3 linked regions of the Arabidopsis thaliana genome follow. The protein of the gene in region 1 purifies or fractionates together with the protein of each later gene. This does not show direct contact. Each region holds a gene or a part of one and is shown in the gene's direction. Other genes may lie near its edges.

Region 1 (6,870 bases):
CTATGAATTTATGAGAACCACTCATCATTGAGTATTAGGCAAACTTTGTGTGTGTGTATGAATCAATTTGATAAGATATGGATTGATTTCACATTTGAAGAATTTACATGTTTACATCGTTTCATGTTTTATCTTGTTAAAAGTCGCACTGTTTTGATAAAGACAAAGTGTTCATACATATTTTGAGTGAACTACACACATGGCTTATAGAATTGCCTATGAAACGATAGTTATGATCCTATGTTGTCATCGTTCACAAATGAGGGTTTTCTTATCGAGGCCCGTTGTGTAGTCTCCTTGGGCCCGGACACAAAGGCGGTAACCTAATTTATAACTAATTCCTTTATAAAAAAGACTAAAGGTGTGGAAGTAAAACCCTAATTACTATTTATTGAAACAATGACGAAGATATTTCGGATCTTCCTCTGGATTTGGCAGAGGAGGTGCTCTCTAGGGTTACGGCCAGGCAAAAACAGAAGCATGCTTCAAACTCTCTGGCTTCACAAGAGTAGCAGCATCACCATCACTTCCCCAAACAGTCTTAGCCAATTCGTAACACTTCTTATCATGATTTTTAGTTTAGTCACCACTTTTCTTTTTCTCAACGGCGAAGAAATCGTCGGATGTCGCATCCACTTCAAAGAAACCGTTGGGAGTCGCATCTCCGGTGATTTCTTCGCCGTCGATGGAGTAAACAAAGGCTGAGATTTCTTCTTCACTATCGGATTTGTTGAAACGAGAGAGAAATTTGAGAAAGTAGATTGAGAAAAAGAAAAGTGGTGACTTTACTAAAGATCATGATAAGAAGTGTTACGAATTGGGTAAGACTATTTGGGGGAAGTGTGATGCTACTACTAAAGAGTTTGAAGCCGAAAGTTGTGACAAACTGAGAAGGGAGCTAAGTGGAAGAGCGAAGCTCAATTAAGGGGGAGTGTTGGTCCGTAATTGAGTTTTCAGCTAACGGTTGTAAGTTTGTGTTGTTTCACTCAAAGGGCACAAGTAAAAAGAGACACAACTAATTGGGTTGTTGTGTCTATTTGTTTTTTTTTTTATATAAACTTAATATTGTATTGTCATGTAAATATTAACAAGTTTCAGTTCAATAAAACATTTTCTGTTTTGTTCTGTTGTTGTCTCTAAGGAGAAGAGATATTATCTCGTACCTCTTACCTTATTTCTTCTTTCTCTCAATATTCCAACCAGGCAACAAAGCATAGAAGAAACAAGTGAAGGAGTTTCATGCGATCATGATTTTGAAATATAGGGTTTATCTGATGAGCGTCAATCTAGACGGAATTCACAAAGACGACAACGTTGAATCTATAAAGCAGAAATGTAAACCATGTCATTAATTCAGTGCAAATCTAGCAACCTACACCATGCACGAAGCAAAGGAAGAAACCATGTCATTAATTAGTCCATTTACAAAATCTATAGATTGTTTCAGGCGTAGTTCTTGCTTTGTTTATTTTGCCATGTTCTTTGATGAAGATTAGTAAAAAAAATCTTGCATTAACAGAACCAATCACTCAACTTATTAATTTGTTTGATCATCTTTCAGGTACAATAGTAGTACTATATATACATTGGCCTCGACTAGTCTACGTACATTTGGGTCACATAACCTCGGTGCTCCAATTTGTTACAAACTAAACAAAACTGGGCCAAAAAAACATAATCTTTGTCGAGAAATAGCTCGAAATCTATTAATTATCTTTGCAAAATTTAATCTTTCTCAAAGCTTGGGAATTGAGAGTAGTTTCTTTCGTTTTTCATCAAGTTTTGGTAAATGATGTTTTTAGTGTATACAAATTTTAGCATCTGAAACATAAATTTAAAATTCTAAAAACTTGAAATATTAAAACAGAACTACAACATAGTTGTAATAGAAAGTTGGTCGAAGTTCCAAACTCTATGATCTGGACCGTTCGTTTTTTCCTCACGCGCTCGATCTACCGGACTGCTCAAAGGGAATCAATAAAATTCCGAATTAGTCTCGGCAGTGTAGTCCACGCGGCGCGCAACATTGCGATCAACTTCATAACTTTTTAGCTTCTCCTCCTCCGCACTGGGCTCGATTGGGTGAGACGCGGACCACTGCACAGGCATGCACCGTCTTCCTCTCTCTCGCTCTCTTTGTCGCAATCTCTGGAATTTGTGTGATTTTTCGGAATTGCTTTTTTAAGTGTCACTCGTGGTTGGTTTCATCTCTTAGTTCGAGGAGTGTTCTATTTTTGGGGCTTTATTGATTCCATCTTCTCCCTTGCCGTTTATGGGATAAAATCAACATCAATGAGGTTAATTCTTTTCCATTTAAAGTTCATCTTTTGTGTTATTTGGGGACACTGACATAATCTCTCTGGTATCTATCTGCAGGGCTTTCATGTGAGATTTTGTGTGTGAATTTTAATTCAAATGGTATGGAATTTGGCTACTTTGGGAATGTTATCTTTTGTTTTTTGTGTTGCATGTTTTTCATAAGTTTTTCTGGAATCTTGCAGGCTGATATGCGTAGACGAAATGGAAGTGGAGGTTCCTCTAATCATGAAAGGAATGAGCAGATACTGTTTCCAAAACCAGAGACCTTGGACTTTGATTTGCCCTGCGACACCTCTTTCCCTCAGCAGATTGGTGTATGTTTTGTTACCCTTTCTATACCATAAAGGACATAAGTGGCTAAGATTCTTAAACATCCACTGTGTCTACATTTTACTGTTTAGAACAAGTAGTGGTTTAGAAAGGTTCTTATTGTTTCATACTTGATGTGCAGGACAATGCTGCTAGTTCTTCTGGAAGTAATGTTAAGTCATTGCTGATTGAGATGGGATTTTGCCCAACTCTTGTTCAGAAAGCAATTGACGAAAATGGTATTCTTCAGTTTCCTGTAAAAAACTACCATGCATGCTAACTTTCATTTGGGGTATATATGATTACTGAGTTTGCCTCTTCGCATCCAGGTCAAGATGATTTTGAGTTGCTATTAGAGATTCTCACTAAGAGTACTGAAACAGAACCTCCTGGACCTAGCTTTCATGGGCTAATGGAACCCAAACCGGTAAAGCGCATAATGTGTGATCCCACATGTCTTGTCTTTCATTCTGTGTAATTTCTTAATGTTTCTTGCTTTTCTTTGACAGGAACCTGATATTGAATACGAAACTGACCGTATAAGGATTGCGTTACTAACTATGAAGTTTCCAGAAAATCTTGTTGACTTTGCACTGGATAGGCTTGGTAATGTATTCACAATGTCTTTGGCTTTGCATTCAAAATTCAAACATGTTACAAAGTTACACCTTTTTGTCCGTGTCTATTCATGGTTTAACATATTAGAATTTCTTCTTTTCAGGTTATTTTTTGAGTGATTAGACCTCGTGTACATTGCAAGACCAATTTCTCACTATTGCACGATATTTTTTCTTTGTCTTCTTATAGATTAACCATCTCTTCATACTGGAACTTCTGATTGTATGACATTTAATATAGGCAAACTAAGGAGGCTTATAGTATATTATAACTCTCTGAAAAGAGAAATAACATTTATGAAGCTGTTGTTTATTAATGTTAAAGTGGAAAATCCATTCCCTGTGACCGTATTAGAAACTTGTAAATAGTTTCTAAAAAATTGATACTTATACTATTCAAAGCTATATAGAAACTTAGCATGCAGATAGCAGCTATCATTTGGCCTATCCCCAAATCCTTTCTTCATGATTGTTTGTTCTGTGTGATAGGTAAAGACACACCAATTGATGAGATGGTGGACTTCATTGTTGCTGCTCAATTAGCTGAAAAGTATGCGGAGGAATCCGAAGATTCACTTGATGGTGCTGAGATCAATGAAGAAGATGAAGATGTCACTCCAGTTACTGCTCGAGGACCTGAGGTCTTTGGTGCTTTTTTGACATTAGCTGTTGATTTTATTGTCAATGCTTTTGTAGATTCCACTACCTTTCTTTTGTGTTCATTCTGTGTTGTTCATGTTGTTATTACCTTTATTACCTCTAACCTTTGTTTTGTGTTTTAAATTCAGGTTCCCAATGAACAATTGTTTGAAACAATGGACAAGACTTTGCGTTTACTGGAAATGGGATTCTCTAATGATGAAATTTCAATGGCAATTGAGAAGATAGGTGAGCAACTGAGGCACTTATCTGTTCATCCCATGACTGTTATATGTCTGAAAGAAAAAAATGTAGACATGAAACGTATCTTGTTTATGTTGTCGGGGGTGATTATGATACTTTTAGGGTGAAAGAAATCCTATCATTTGTTTTGCAGCCCGTCCTGTTGTACTGGTATATAATCTATTTTGCACCTCTTCAGGTACAAAAGGTCAGATTTCTGTCCTTGCTGAGTCAATTGTTACTGGTGAATTTCCTGCGGAATGCCATGATGACCTTGAAGATATAGAAAAGGTATGTACACTAATGTTTTTAATTAATTTTTACTCGACCTCCAATGATGCACTTGTAAAGTGAAGTGCTGAAACTAGAGCTTTTGCTGCTGCTACTGCACCTAAACCATCTCACACTCTTCTCTTAATTAAACTAAGATATTGTTGGAGTTTAACTCAATGATATTTGGTGTCACTGTAGAAAGTTTCAGCGGCTGCTCCTGCAGTGAATCGTACATGTCTTTCAAAGAGTTGGAGATTTGTTGGGGTTGGTGCTCAGAAAGAGGATGGTGGTGGGGGTTCGTCGAGTGGCACTGCTAATATAAAACCAGATCCTGGTATTGAGTCTTTTCCTTTCCCTGCCACTGACAATGTGGGAGAGACCTCGAGAGGTAAGCGACCAAAAGATGAGGATGAGAATGCCTATCCAGAAGAATACACTGGCTACGATGACAGAGGAAAACGGTTAAGGCCCGAAGATATGGGTGACTCAAGTTCGTTTATGGAAACCCCATGGATGCAAGATGAGTGGAAAGATAACACATATGAATTTCCCAGTGTAATGCAGCCACGTTTGTCCCAGAGTCTTGGTCCAAAAGTAGCCAGACGACCTTATTTCTTCTATGGACAGTTAGGTGAACTTTCTCCTAGCTGGTGGTCGAAGATCTCGGGTTTCTTGTTCGGAATTCACCCCGAACATGTAGATACTCGGTTGTGTTCAGCGCTCCGTAGGACAGAAGGGTACCTGCACAATCTTCCCACTGTTAACAGGTTTAATACCCTCCCGAACCCTCGATTAACTATACAAGACGCAATGCCACACATGAGGAGTTGGTGGCCACAATGGGATATCAGAAAGCATTTCAATAGCGGCACGTGTTCTAATATGAAAGATGCAACTCTTCTCTGTGAACGAATTGGTCGCCGTATAGCTGAATGCAAGGGAAAGCCTACTCAACAGGACCAGACTTTAATACTTCGACATTGTCACACCTCCAATCTCATTTGGATAGCACCAAACATCCTCTCACCCTTGGAGCCTGAACATTTAGAGTGCATTATGGGATATCCAATGAACCACACAAACATCGGTGGTGGAAGGTTGGCTGAAAGATTGAAGTTGTTTGATTACTGCTTCCAAACAGACACATTGGGTTACCATCTCTCTGTACTCAAGTCTATGTTTCCCCAAGGTTTAACAGTTTTATCACTCTTTAGCGGGATTGGTGGTGCGGAAATTGCATTGGACCGTCTTGGAATCCATCTAAAAGGCGTAGTCTCTGTAGAGTCCTGTGGATTGAGCCGTAACATACTGAAAAGATGGTGGCAGACTTCGGGACAAACCGGTGAGCTAGTGCAAATTGAAGAAATCAAAAGCTTAACGGCAAAGAGGCTGGAGACTCTGATGCAGAGATTTGGAGGATTTGACTTTGTCATTTGCCAGAACCCATCAACACCACTTGATCTCTCTAAAGAAATCTCAAATAGTGAAGCCTGTGAATTTGATTATACGTTGTTTAACGAGTTTGCTCGTGTCACGAAACGTGTCAGAGATATGATGTAGTGAAGTTGACCAAGAGCCTTTACGTCCTCAAGAACCTGGAGACTTGTCTAATCTCAGAAGGAGTCTTCCATTTTCTTTATCGTGGAGACTTTCAATTACGGAACTGTTTTTCTTGTTTTGCAGTTGATGCTTTAATGAATCAGTCTGTACCATAATCTTCATAGAAGCGTGGAATATCGTCTTTTTTATTTTTTTGCTATGTTACTTCTCGGAGAGATAAGCAGTGAATCATGCGGTCAATGTTGTTGTGTACTGTTCACAATTATGTATAATATTAGCACTTTTTTTAGCTCAATGTTGTTGATTGCATAATTCATACTCATCTTACGTCAAAAGTAACTGGAAATGATCTGAACTTCTGAAGTGTCTAATCCAAAATATAAACAAATCTAAGCCAGAGTAAAAAAAAAACTGTATGATTAGATTTGAAATAGAGAACCACTTGATTGATTGCACAGGAAAATCCTCAATGTTGAGTCACTGAGGCTTCTCGATCAAGTCTATTATTCAAGCCAACTTAGTTGCATTGTTAGCCTACAAGCATTGACTAGAGAGATAGAGAGAGAATAACAATGGGAGAGTCTGCAACCAGACTGCATCAGGATCTCTGGCTAACCTTGCCTCCTGTCAGCTTCGCTGACTCAAACAACATGTGATTGATGAGTCCCCGAGCAGCACTACATATACAGTACCAGAGAAGTTTGAGTCTTTCCAAACTTTTCAAATAGATGTATACAACATACTTATCCCAAGAGTATTCTGTAATATATGATCTCAAGCAGCTGTATATGTGTGTGTTTGTGTGAAACATCATCTTTTGCAGAAACATGCCTCAACGAACAAGTTTTACATCTGATCTAATTATAAGGTTTTAAGTTATCGTATTCAGTAGAGATTGGGGAAAAAAAGA
Region 2 (7,897 bases), 2.7 Mb from region 1:
AGATACAAAACTAATCGATAAAGAAAAAAAGCTGATGGCCAATCAATCTTAACTCTTAAACTTCAGTTTTTTCCCTAAGTTCTGTCATTTGCTTTAAAAACCTCTATTTCAAAAGTGTGGGGATCTAAAATAATAGCAATGAGATGCGAAGTAGTGTTACCTGTCTGTACGTGAATGTAGAAGGCGGGTCATGATACGGATCTACCACCGCAACTCTGTCACCGTACTTCTCCACAGATGATCTCCAAATATCAGGAACAGACTTCCATTCATTAGAGCTCAAAGCAGCCTCCCTTGGCAATGATAAGCGTTCTAAGAATGGCGAACACCGCCTTAACTCCTTCTCCTGAATCTATAAGAACGGTACACAATTGATGTTACATATAATTCAGGAAATGAACCATAAGGTAAACTTACAAGAACCCTATAAAAGCCTTTCAGGATCAAGCTGTTTAAACCCTGGTCATCAGAAGCAATTCAGCTTTCATAAGACAAGTATCCTAAACTAATAAGACTCAGAAGTCAGAGCCACTCGTTGTCTATTTTGGTGCAACAGCTAAACTTGAACCTTCCCCAAAGTCAATTCATTTCTTTAGATTACTTACTTCAAAAATCAAAGTGAAAGGAGCAATTTTTTAAGTCCACAAACCAAAAAGGAACTCGCCTTGGATTCGCAGCGAACTCGAAATCCCCTGCGTGAAGTTCTGCAGCCAAAAGCCTTGTAACCAAACACCAATCTCATCCCAGAAACTTGAAATTCAGGAGCTGAGGAGCAGTGAGAAACGAGAATCGAAGCTCCGAGAGACGTTGAAGCCATGGCTGAGGAGATAAGAGGTTATCGTGATGAAGTTGCTTGCATAGAGAGAATATATGAGAGGAGAAAGAGAGAAAGATGAAGAAGCAAAGAAAGGTAGAAAGAAAGAGACGAGAAAGTAGGTCGATGTCATGATTACGATTTTTCACAGGAAAGATCAGTTCCAAGTTGGTTGGCACCGCTACAGAAGCATGGCTTCTTCAGACTCTCAGAGATAATAAAACAAAAAACAGAGCTCAATACTTACACTTATATAATAACTTTTTATTTACTTATATATTATATTTCTATAATTAGATCAGATTTAACCTAATAAATCAAACTACCCATAATTATGATGTCCCAAATTTGGTAACTATTTGATGATTATTTCTAAACTGTAGGAGCAACCCCAACTTTGTATCTTAGCTAATTTTTAGGTATAAAAGTGATTAAATTTAATGAAACCAATAAACTTTAGCTAAGATAAACATCTTTATTAAGCCTCTCCGTCACTCACCAAAAAAAAAAACATCTTTATTTTATTTTTTTTGGTTAAACAAAAACATCTTTATTAAGATATTTTCTTAAAACTAAGAAAAGCATATGTGTTGTGTTTTGAGTGGGTAGACATTGTGTTGAAATAGTTTGTTGTTTCTTAAAATTCTAATCGTTCTTAACCATTGAAGTAGAAATTGGTTAAACTTCTTCCTAACTTTTCTTAACTTAGTAAAAACAACATTTTAATTTAAAATAAGCTTAAGATCCAAAATTAAAAATTAATTGATTTTAAACCATTGGGATTGCTCTGAGCTTTTTTAGTGAATTATGTGTTGTTTTTTTTCTTTGTGTTTTGGTCAAAATTAAGTTATATATGAAATTTATTAAACCAAACAACCAAATCGAATTAGATGTAAAAACCAAAATGTAGATGTTACAAATTTTGGAAAAAAAAAAAGATGTTACAAATTTTATGTCATGTGAACTTCTAAATATATTTCCTTTTCACTTTAAAATAAAAATAAAATAAAACTTAAACATAAAAATATAGATACCAAAGAGCAAAATTTAATAATATTGTCTACTAGTACTAGTGACGTCAATTTCTTCACTTCTCTTTGACTGCTTCGCTTAACCACTGAAAAAGTGTGCCAAGGGTTTTCTACGTCGAATCTCTCCGCATTCTCAGCGATTTTCCGGCGACGTTTACTCTGCACTCCTCCGACACCGCCGTTTTACTCCATCGTGCCAGCTTTAAGCAATCAAGGTACCTATTTTAGGTAATACGCTTTGATTCTGCTTTTAAGCATCGGAGAATATGTTATGGAGAATGATTCGGTTCTAAGGGAAAGTTGTTGATTTCGTGTTTGTATTCGCATGATTGCATTTTCGTGGTTCATGATTTTCACAGCTTTTTAATCAATTTCTCTGTCTTTGTTTAGGGTTTTTGTTCGTACAGTGTGTTTTGAGGTATGCCAGATATGGACATTGATGTGAAGGATCTTGAAGAGTTCGAGGCTACTACTGGGGAGATCAATCTATCTGAGCTAGGAGAAGGTTTTCTGCAGAGTTTCTGCAAAAAAGCTGCAACTTCTTTCTTTGATAAGTATGGACTTATAAGTCATCAGCTCAACTCCTACAACTACTTCATTGAACACGGGCTTCAGAATGTGTTTCAATCCTTTGGTGAGATGCTTGTGGAACCGTCTTTTGATGTTGTAAAGAAGAAGGATAATGATTGGAGATACGCAACGGTGAAGTTCGGAGAAGTCACTGTGGAGAAGCCTACTTTCTTTTCGGATGACAAGGAGCTTGAGTTTCTCCCATGGCATGCTAGGCTTCAGAACATGACATACTCTGCAAGGATCAAAGTCAATGTCCAAGTTGAGGTAACAGAAATTCTTTGTCGAAATTAAGTAACCTTGTCTGGATTTGATGAATGATAAAGAACACATGGTATAAGCTTATTTCTTGATGTTTCTACTAGACTCTTTCTGACACATATATGAAGATGTTGACATACACTGAGGTTCCTGTCATAGATTTCTCAATTTAACTTGCCATCAAATAATTTACTAAGGGTTAAGGAACATATTTGTCTGAAACTGGTTTCACTCTTTTTGGCTTTACAAGTTTTCTGTAATTGGATTTGGTTCCTTATTTGCATTCGCTGGATTTCTTACCTGAGCAAAATATCTAGTAAAAGAGATTTATTACAGTTACATGTTCGTGTGAAGTAGAGGTGTATTTCAAGCTTGGTTGTGTTTAAGATTGATGATTTTGTCTGCTCCCAATCTTTAGATGTTTCTTGTTTAAAATTTGAATTGTGATTACTTTTCCTTGTAGTGGTGGGTATTCAAACGAAATAAGCTTTAGTTTGTTTCATTTTAAAGTTTGGATGCAATAAAAGAAAAACATCTTCAGCTTTTTTTTTTATTTAGTTCTTCCCCACTGCCTCACTGTGCTTTAGTTTGAGTGTTTTATGCTTGTGTGCAATGACTCTTGTACTGTCAAACTTTTGATGATGTTTCTGTTTTGCTGTCCATGTATCTTATTCTTATAAATGTAGTTTATTGTCTAACTGCTTCTTCACTCTATAAATTGACTAGGTGTTCAAGAATACTGTTGTTAAAAGCGACAAATTCAAGACAGGACAAGACAACTATGTCGAGAAGAAGATACTGGATGTCAAAAAGCAGGACATTCTAATTGGTAGCATTCCTGTCATGGTGAAATCTATCCTTTGCAAAACAAGCGAGAAAGGGAAAGAAAACTGCAAAAAGGGGGATTGTGCCTTTGATCAGGGTGGATATTTCGTGATAAAGGGGGCTGAGAAGGTGAGTTTAACTAATACATACATATATGCATATTGCCATTCAATACGTACAATAACTTTATTTTCTATGCCAAAACGGATTTTGTTTGTCAGCAATCCATAAAACGGATTATAGTTACAATTTTCTATCATCAGATAATAGTGTTTATCAGCAAAAAGATGTTACAAATTAGACAATAACCTATTTGGTTCATTTTATTTTCCTAATGGAGATGAAGTAAGAAATTAAGAAACTTAACTTATTTATGACTTTGTATACTTCGTTAGCATCAAAGATATAAACTTTTTCTTTCCTTTCTGGCTTGACCATGAGGCCATGAGTATTCAAATCTTACAGGAAGCGTTCTTTGCAATCTTAGGCTCTGGGACAGATGATTTGACTCTAATATATTCTGGAAAAAATATTTTCAAGTTGTTATACTTCTCCCTAACGTTATTATATTGTTTTGCAGGTGTTTATAGCTCAAGAACAGATGTGCACAAAGAGACTGTGGATTTCTAATTCACCATGGACAGTCTCCTTCAGGTCCGAAAATAAAAGAAATAGATTCATTGTGCGCCTCTCGGAGAATGAGAAAGCAGAAGACTATAAGAGAAGGGAGAAAGTACTGACAGTGTACTTCTTGTCGACTGAGATTCCAGTCTGGCTCCTCTTCTTTGCGCTAGGTGTTTCGTCAGACAAAGAAGCCATGGATCTAATTGCTTTTGATGGTGATGATGCAAGCATTACCAACAGTCTCATAGCTTCTATCCATGTAGCTGATGCAGTTTGTGAAGCTTTTCGCTGTGGGAACAATGCTTTAACATATGTTGAACAGCAGATCAAAAGCACCAAATTCCCTCCTGCTGAAAGTGTGGATGAGTGCCTCCATCTGTATTTGTTTCCAGGCCTCCAAAGTTTGAAGAAGAAAGCTCGATTCCTGGGCTATATGGTGAAGTGCCTTCTGAACTCGTATGCGGGAAAAAGAAAATGCGAAAACAGGGACAGTTTCCGGAATAAGCGAATTGAGCTCGCTGGAGAACTATTGGAGAGGGAGATAAGGGTGCATCTGGCACATGCTAGAAGAAAGATGACCAGGGCCATGCAGAAACACCTCTCAGGCGATGGTGATTTGAAGCCTATTGAGCATTATTTGGATGCTTCTGTTATCACAAATGGGCTTAGTAGAGCCTTCTCTACTGGAGCATGGTCTCATCCTTTCAGGAAGATGGAAAGGGTTTCAGGTGTTGTGGCTAATTTGGGTCGTGCAAATCCATTGCAGACTCTGATTGATCTGAGGAGAACGCGACAGCAAGTCTTATATACCGGCAAGGTTGGAGATGCTAGATATCCGTAAGTGAATTCCACCTCCTCTGGTATATTTAAATATATCTCACGTATTTTAACTTACTGGTCTGGTCTGCATTTACTCCATTTTACATGTCTTCAGACTGTTTTAAAGATATTCGTAATAACTTTAATTCAATGTAGTATATGATGCCGATCACTGTTTCTGCAGTCTCTTGTCTGTGTATAATACTTATTTTGTATAGATGTTACTGCTATTAAAAAACTCTGATACTGTCTTTCTTGTTTCTTTCTCCCTTGGTCAATCTATCTGTTGAACTCTTGAGATTATCCATTTTGGTTCCTTTTCAATGTGAGCGGTTAGACAATTAAATCGTGTTGGGAAACTGAACTATAGCTGCATTGTTTGTAATGTTGGCCACAGGCACCCCTCTCACTGGGGCAGAGTATGCTTTTTGTCAACTCCAGACGGTGAAAATTGTGGTCTTGTGAAGAACATGTCTCTTCTGGGACTTGTGAGCACCCAAAGTTTGGAGTCTGTGGTGGAAAAGCTCTTCGCTTGTGGAATGGAAGAGCTGATGGATGATACATGCACACCATTGTTTGGCAAACATAAAGTTCTTCTCAATGGAGACTGGGTTGGATTATGTGCAGATTCTGAATCCTTTGTCGCGGAGTTAAAAAGCAGGCGGCGCCAAAGTGAATTACCTCGTGAGGTATCTTCTGTTTCAGCAAATCTCTTGCTATATTTTGATATTCTTGTGTTACTTGGTATTTGCTTTGGATTTTTCTGCTTCAGATGTGTCTATGTCGAATATTGTTTATATATATGAAACGTTCTCTGCAGATGGAAATCAAGCGAGATAAAGATGACAATGAGGTAAGAATTTTCACTGATGCTGGTAGACTACTCCGACCTCTCTTGGTTGTGGAAAATCTCCAAAAGTTGAAGCAAGAAAAACCTTCACAGTATCCTTTTGACCATCTTCTTGACCATGGGATTCTCGAGCTGATCGGGATTGAGGAAGAAGAAGACTGTAATACAGCATGGGGAATCAAACAGCTTCTGAAGGAACCAAAGATATACACACATTGCGAATTGGACCTGTCATTCTTGTTGGGTGTGAGCTGTGCAGTTGTCCCATTTGCAAATCACGACCATGGGAGAAGAGTTCTCTACCAGTCCCAGAAGCACTGCCAACAAGCCATTGGATTCTCATCAACGAACCCTAACATCCGCTGCGATACGCTGTCCCAGCAGCTGTTCTATCCTCAGAAGCCACTGTTCAAGACATTGGCGTCGGAGTGTCTTAAAAAAGAAGTGCTGTTCAATGGCCAGAACGCAATTGTTGCTGTGAATGTTCATCTCGGGTACAACCAAGAGGATTCCATTGTGATGAACAAGGCTTCATTGGAACGTGGTATGTTCCGTTCAGAGCAGATTAGAAGCTACAAAGCAGAGGTTGATGCTAAAGACTCAGAGAAGAGGAAGAAGATGGATGAGCTTGTTCAGTTTGGAAAGACACACAGCAAAATCGGCAAAGTAGACAGCCTTGAAGATGACGGGTTTCCTTTCATTGGTGCTAACATGAGTACTGGCGATATTGTCATTGGCAGATGCACCGAGTCTGGGGCTGATCACAGTATAAAGCTCAAGCACACTGAGAGAGGAATTGTGCAAAAAGTGGTATTATCATCTAATGATGAAGGGAAGAATTTTGCTGCGGTTTCTCTGAGACAGGTAAGTTCCAGATCATACTAAATCGAGCTGTTTTTTCAGAGAATGCATTCCTATGTATGAATCGAATGTTCCATTGATTGGCTTTTACATCTTACAGGTTCGTTCTCCATGCCTTGGAGATAAGTTTTCCAGTATGCATGGCCAGAAGGGTGTTTTAGGCTACCTAGAGGAACAGCAGAATTTTCCTTTCACGATCCAAGGCATAGTTCCTGATATTGTGATAAACCCGCACGCTTTCCCTTCTAGGCAAACACCAGGTCAACTCTTGGAGGCTGCTCTCTCCAAAGGAATCGCTTGTCCTATACAAAAGGAGGGTAGCTCTGCTGCATACACCAAATTGACACGTCATGCCACTCCTTTCTCCACTCCGGGTGTCACTGAAATCACCGAGCAGCTTCACAGGTACATTCTTCACATTGTCTCTTGGTTTTAGCTCGTAAAACAGAATATAAAATTATATGCTATAACAGATTTACATTTGCTTCCTATACAAATAGATGATATCATTAAGGGCAGGAACATATTATTGATAATATTTCCTCGTTGAAGATGTTTAAACTTGGAGACTTTGGCTACAGAATTTCCAAAAGTTGATTGAGCTAATATACTGCACAAGGCACTAAGCTAGATTTGAGCACCTTACTTGAAACATGTCATAGTGGATCTTTATTTTGTTTTCTAGGAGTACTAGAAGTGAGCATGAGTTATCTGTCTCTGTAAGACTAAAAAACTAAGAAGTTCAATGTTCTATGGTTGATTAATTTCTTGTATTGTGCCTGAAAAACGTCTAGAGAATACAGAAAAATAGGCTCAAGAGTCATGTACCAGTATATAATTAGTTAGAGGATTGATGCTGTGAGCCTTGTGATCTATGTATAATTCATTTAACCTTTCTTAGATTATTGTTGATTCTTGAGTCCTGATTCATTACCAATGGTAAATATTTGTGATTAGGGCCGGCTTTTCAAGATGGGGAAACGAAAGGGTCTACAACGGTAGATCAGGTGAGATGATGCGTTCTATGATATTCATGGGCCCAACTTTCTACCAGCGACTTGTCCACATGTCAGAGGACAAAGTCAAGTTCAGGAACACTGGACCAGTCCACCCGCTCACACGCCAGCCAGTTGCAGACAGGAAGAGATTTGGCGGGATAAAATTTGGAGAAATGGAGCGAGACTGCCTAATAGCTCACGGTGCATCAGCTAATCTGCATGAGCGTCTCTTCACTCTAAGTGA
Region 3 (3,637 bases), about 13 Mb from region 1:
GAGGAGGAGAATATGTAAATATACCTTCAAACATACAGGACAATAATTCCCCTTAACAAACAACCTTCCACAAGCATCACAACAAGTATGCCCCAAAAACCACCTGCAAAGTTTAGAAGGAATAATAAGAGATAGTGCACTTTACATGAATAAATTTCAAGTATCACAAGGCAAAAAGTTAAATACCGTAAGCTCTGGCCATTCCCAGGGACTGTAGACTCACAACTGTAACATTTGGTGTGCTTAGGACACAAATAGGGTCCAGAACTAACATTCTGTAATATTCAGAGATTAAAATAAACCAATTTGCAAAAGATAAGATAAGAACCTTATACAGACGCAATAAATACTATACCTTGTGCCGAGGATGTTGGCAATCACAATGATATGCATCATCACATCTTTTGCAGAACATAAACTTTTTTGGATCCCCTAAAGTCCCGCAGCCCTAAAGGAAAAATGATCAAAAGAATACAAATAATCAAGCAGCAGTCATACCTAGCCCAGCATGTAAAGAGCAAGAATAATCATTGAGCACAAAGTTGTGTCCGAACATACCTCACAGATTCGGCAAGATGGGCACGCCCAAGAGCTCCAATTAAAAAGATCTGCTAGCAAAAACCGGTATAAGAATCTAGGCAGAAAGACTCATAAGTCATAAACAATAGATTCCTATGAAACAATACCTCTATGTTGGGCCCAAGACTTCACGCAGTTTCTATGATACTTCTTCCCACAACATTTGCAAGAAAGCATCTTGGCTCTCTCACTCTTCCCAACTTCAACCAAATAGCACATGTGACATGTTATGCTTGCACTGTGATGATCATGATCTTCTTCATTGAGGTCTTTGACTGAAACCTACATAGAGAAAGACATAACATTGAATTAGTGTCTTGACGAGAATAGACTTCATAATCATCCAAAAAATCACAAGTAGTTTACATATAAATCATAGATTACAGAACCCGAAAAGACAGGACAACACCAAAACACATACACGAGATACAGATAATCAACATCACTGAAAACACGTTTTCTCACAAAGACAGATTCCTATAAACAAGTTCAATTCAATTGACATAGCAGTAACCCCTAACCACAAAAACAAGTTTCGCAAGTAAGAATTCGAACCTCTAAGTCGCCAGAACAATCATTCGCAGCATAAACTTCCACAGCCTTCTTCTGCAACACCAAGGTGCGTTTAGCTGGTACCAAATTCGATGATGCAGCAACAACCTCCATCGCCGAATCACTCCCAACACCAACATTTCTAGCCGCAATGCGAGGACCAGTATCGAAAACAGCAAGCTTAGGCACATGGATCTGAACGGTACCGTCCTTGGAAACCTCAGCATCCCAGGGGTTTCGCACGAACTCCTGAAGAGAATGGATCTCTTTGAGATACACATCCTTGACTTCATTACCATGAAGATTCCGAGAAAACCCCAAAACGCAGAAGCAAATTTTCCGGCTGCGGAGAAAGAACGAAAGAAAGAAGAAAACCCCCAAATTAGAACAATTCGATTAGTAAAAACAAACAAGCCAACGAGTAAAGGAGGCGCCAAAAGAAAGAAAAAAAAACATACCATGTAATTGGACAAGCTACGTGAAAGGCCATAGTCGGTTTTCAAGTTTTACGCTTTCGGGTTCGATTTTTAGGGATCTGACTTCTTTTCTTTTTTTCCTGAATTTTTTGTTAGGTTTCTGAATTAAATCACTCGTCCTTTATTGTGTAAATAATATAAACCTAGAGGTCCTTAAACGGAAATATTATGTTTTATCGGCCCGATCCGACCCAAACTGTATACACCAATAATAATATAACACGTGGAGATTCGATCTTTTTTCTTTTATGAAAAACGACGTCGTATTATATTTTGTTTGCCAGAAAGAAACTGAAGAACTCTTGACTGTCTCTCTGCGGCGAAAAAGAGAGCGAAGCTTGAAATCTCCGATTAAGCCATGAATGCTCCCGAACGATATGAGCGATTCGTCGTCCCTGAAGGCACCAAGAAGTAATTGAAGTTTCTATCACTCGAAATCATACTCGATAGTCCTCTTACATGTGCTAAACCCTCTCGATTTCTATGTTCTAGGGTTTCTTATGATAGGGATACGAAGATCATCAATGCTGCTTCCTTCACGGTTGAGAGAGAAGACCATACGATTGGAAACATTGTCCGCATGTACGTCTTTTTGTTGATTTTGCAACTCTTTTCTCAGAAAGAAGAAAGCCCTAATTTTTGTCAGCTCTGTTCTGAAATTTTTGTTTTAGGCAACTTCATCGCGACGAGAATGTCTTGTTTGCTGGATACCAACTTCCTCATCCTCTTAAGTACAAAATCATAGTGAGGGTAAGTTCCAAGTTTTTCAGTTGCTTCTACTGTAGAGCCTGTTGCTTTGAATTGGAAAGAACAATGCTATCCTCTGCGTTTTTTTCAGTTCATTGATTGACCTTAGGATCCAAAAGATTGGTTTAGGAACTTAAAAGTAGTGTATGGTTGTTTGGAAACCGTGAATATTTCTTGGTTTAAGCTTCTAGTGTTAACAGTTTCCTCTGGGATTACTGGTTGCTTAAGGACTTATAGAAAGATCTTGTATGTTGTTGTTTAATTGTGAAAGTGGTTTCTGTATGTAGATTCACACAACAAGCCAGTCTTCCCCAATGCAAGCATACAACCAGGCCATCAATGACTTGGACAAGGAGCTCGACTACTTGAAGAACCAGTTTGAGGTACATAAGTTTCTCTCTTCGGATATACTTATCTGATTATGTGGTTAATAAGCTAGACGAATATCAAATGCTATTGATGTTGTTTGATGTACCTGGTCTTATGGTATACCCTTCTGTGTTTTCAGGCAGAGGTGGCCAAGTTTTCGAATCAGTTTTAAGGAACTTGGAGTTCTCCATCAGCACATCGGGGAAAACGTTTTACATTGTCTTTTGCTAAGCACCAATCAAGACTAATAATGAGCTTGGGAAATTTTCCCTAGTTATGCTTTGTATAAATCAAAAACAAATCGGCCTGTAACTTCTTTTAACTCTATGTTTCAACACCATTTCAGGATGCTATGAAGTAATGCTTAGATTACCTCTTCTTTTTACCATTCTATCTACATAAACCGCTTAATGTTTGAACTATTGTACAAAGTCTCTTTAAGAGTTGTGATGGTGAAGCTACTACTCTTCCCAAGCTACTAAGTAAAGTGCATTTGTACAGATATTCACAGTATAGTGAAGTCATCATGAAGCCCTTCTAGCTGACCCCGAGTACGCTGCTGCTGAATAATTAACATTGATGTGTTGTGTGAGAAATCTGATCCTGAAAGAACGTCACCTATGGGACCAAGCTCTGGACATTGCTGCCAGTCGTTGAGGCCGGTGGTTAACCCACTGCTCGCTCTTCCCCCTCCTCTTCCTACAATCACCAGCCCATACTCTCCATCTAGTGATTTAAGAGCTGTGAAAGTCTCAGAGGAGTTGGTGAGATGCTTCTCCATGTAAGACACTCTTCCACCTCCAGCTATGTATCTTTCGTAGAACTCAGCAAAACATTCATCATCAAGCTTCATTTCCTCCTCTTGATCTACCACACTCGCTCTGTTCAGGATGCTGCTTCGTTTTTGTGCGTTT

The links. Proteins that work in one complex are often made in the same cells at the same time.
Region 2: the proteins of DRM3 (region 1) and NRPD2A purify together in Arabidopsis thaliana (affinity purification with mass spectrometry, with the first as the bait; one study listed by BioGRID). This does not show direct contact.
Region 3: the proteins of DRM3 (region 1) and NRPB11 purify together in Arabidopsis thaliana (affinity purification with mass spectrometry, with the first as the bait; one study listed by BioGRID). This does not show direct contact.

What each region holds. Positions count from the first base shown.
Region 1 is NC_003074.8:5,908,384-5,915,253, reverse strand, and holds DRM3 (S-adenosyl-L-methionine-dependent methyltransferases superfamily protein), read left to right. Parts: upstream 1-1,908; 5' UTR 1,909-2,105; exon of another isoform or gene 2,106-2,215; 5' UTR 2,216-2,297; intron 2,298-2,376; 5' UTR 2,377-2,415; coding exon 2,416-2,418; intron 2,419-2,501; coding exon 2,502-2,633; intron 2,634-2,770; coding exon 2,771-2,867; intron 2,868-2,957; coding exon 2,958-3,055; intron 3,056-3,137; coding exon 3,138-3,234; intron 3,235-3,252; exon of another isoform or gene 3,253-3,664; coding exon of another isoform or gene 3,665-3,734; coding exon 3,735-3,886; intron 3,887-4,033; coding exon 4,034-4,133; intron 4,134-4,326; coding exon 4,327-4,418; intron 4,419-4,598; coding exon 4,599-5,960; 3' UTR 5,961-6,320; downstream 6,321-6,870. Other genes in the region: EMB2786 (COMPLEX 1 LYR-like protein), read right to left, coding at 6,559-6,637. UniProt on the Arabidopsis thaliana protein: Catalytically inactive DNA methyltransferase that acts as regulatory factor for DRM2-mediated DNA methylation. Required for maintenance of non-CpG DNA methylation.
Region 2 is NC_003074.8:8,568,188-8,576,084, reverse strand, and holds the start of NRPD2A (nuclear RNA polymerase D2A), read left to right. Parts: upstream 1-1,875; 5' UTR 1,876-2,073; intron 2,074-2,235; 5' UTR 2,236-2,265; coding exon 2,266-2,682; intron 2,683-3,402; coding exon 3,403-3,630; intron 3,631-4,081; coding exon 4,082-4,962; intron 4,963-5,341; coding exon 5,342-5,633; intron 5,634-5,764; coding exon 5,765-6,658; intron 6,659-6,755; coding exon 6,756-7,060; intron 7,061-7,612; coding exon 7,613-7,897. Other genes in the region: AAE16 (AMP-dependent synthetase and ligase family protein), read right to left, coding at 161-352, 665-817. UniProt on the Arabidopsis thaliana protein: DNA-dependent RNA polymerase catalyzes the transcription of DNA into RNA using the four ribonucleoside triphosphates as substrates.
Region 3 is NC_003074.8:19,317,327-19,320,963, reverse strand, and holds NRPB11 (DNA-directed RNA polymerase, RBP11-like protein), read left to right. Parts: upstream 1-1,840; 5' UTR 1,841-1,965; coding exon 1,966-2,018; intron 2,019-2,099; coding exon 2,100-2,189; intron 2,190-2,278; coding exon 2,279-2,357; intron 2,358-2,463; coding exon 2,464-2,553; intron 2,554-2,641; coding exon 2,642-2,737; intron 2,738-2,862; coding exon 2,863-2,895; 3' UTR 2,896-3,115; downstream 3,116-3,637. Other genes in the region: AT3G52100 (RING/FYVE/PHD-type zinc finger family protein), read right to left, coding at 25-103, 187-275, 356-448, 559-608, 687-861, 1,003-1,056, 1,135-1,474, 1,590-1,621; chx28 (cation/hydrogen exchanger 28), read right to left, coding at 3,229-3,637.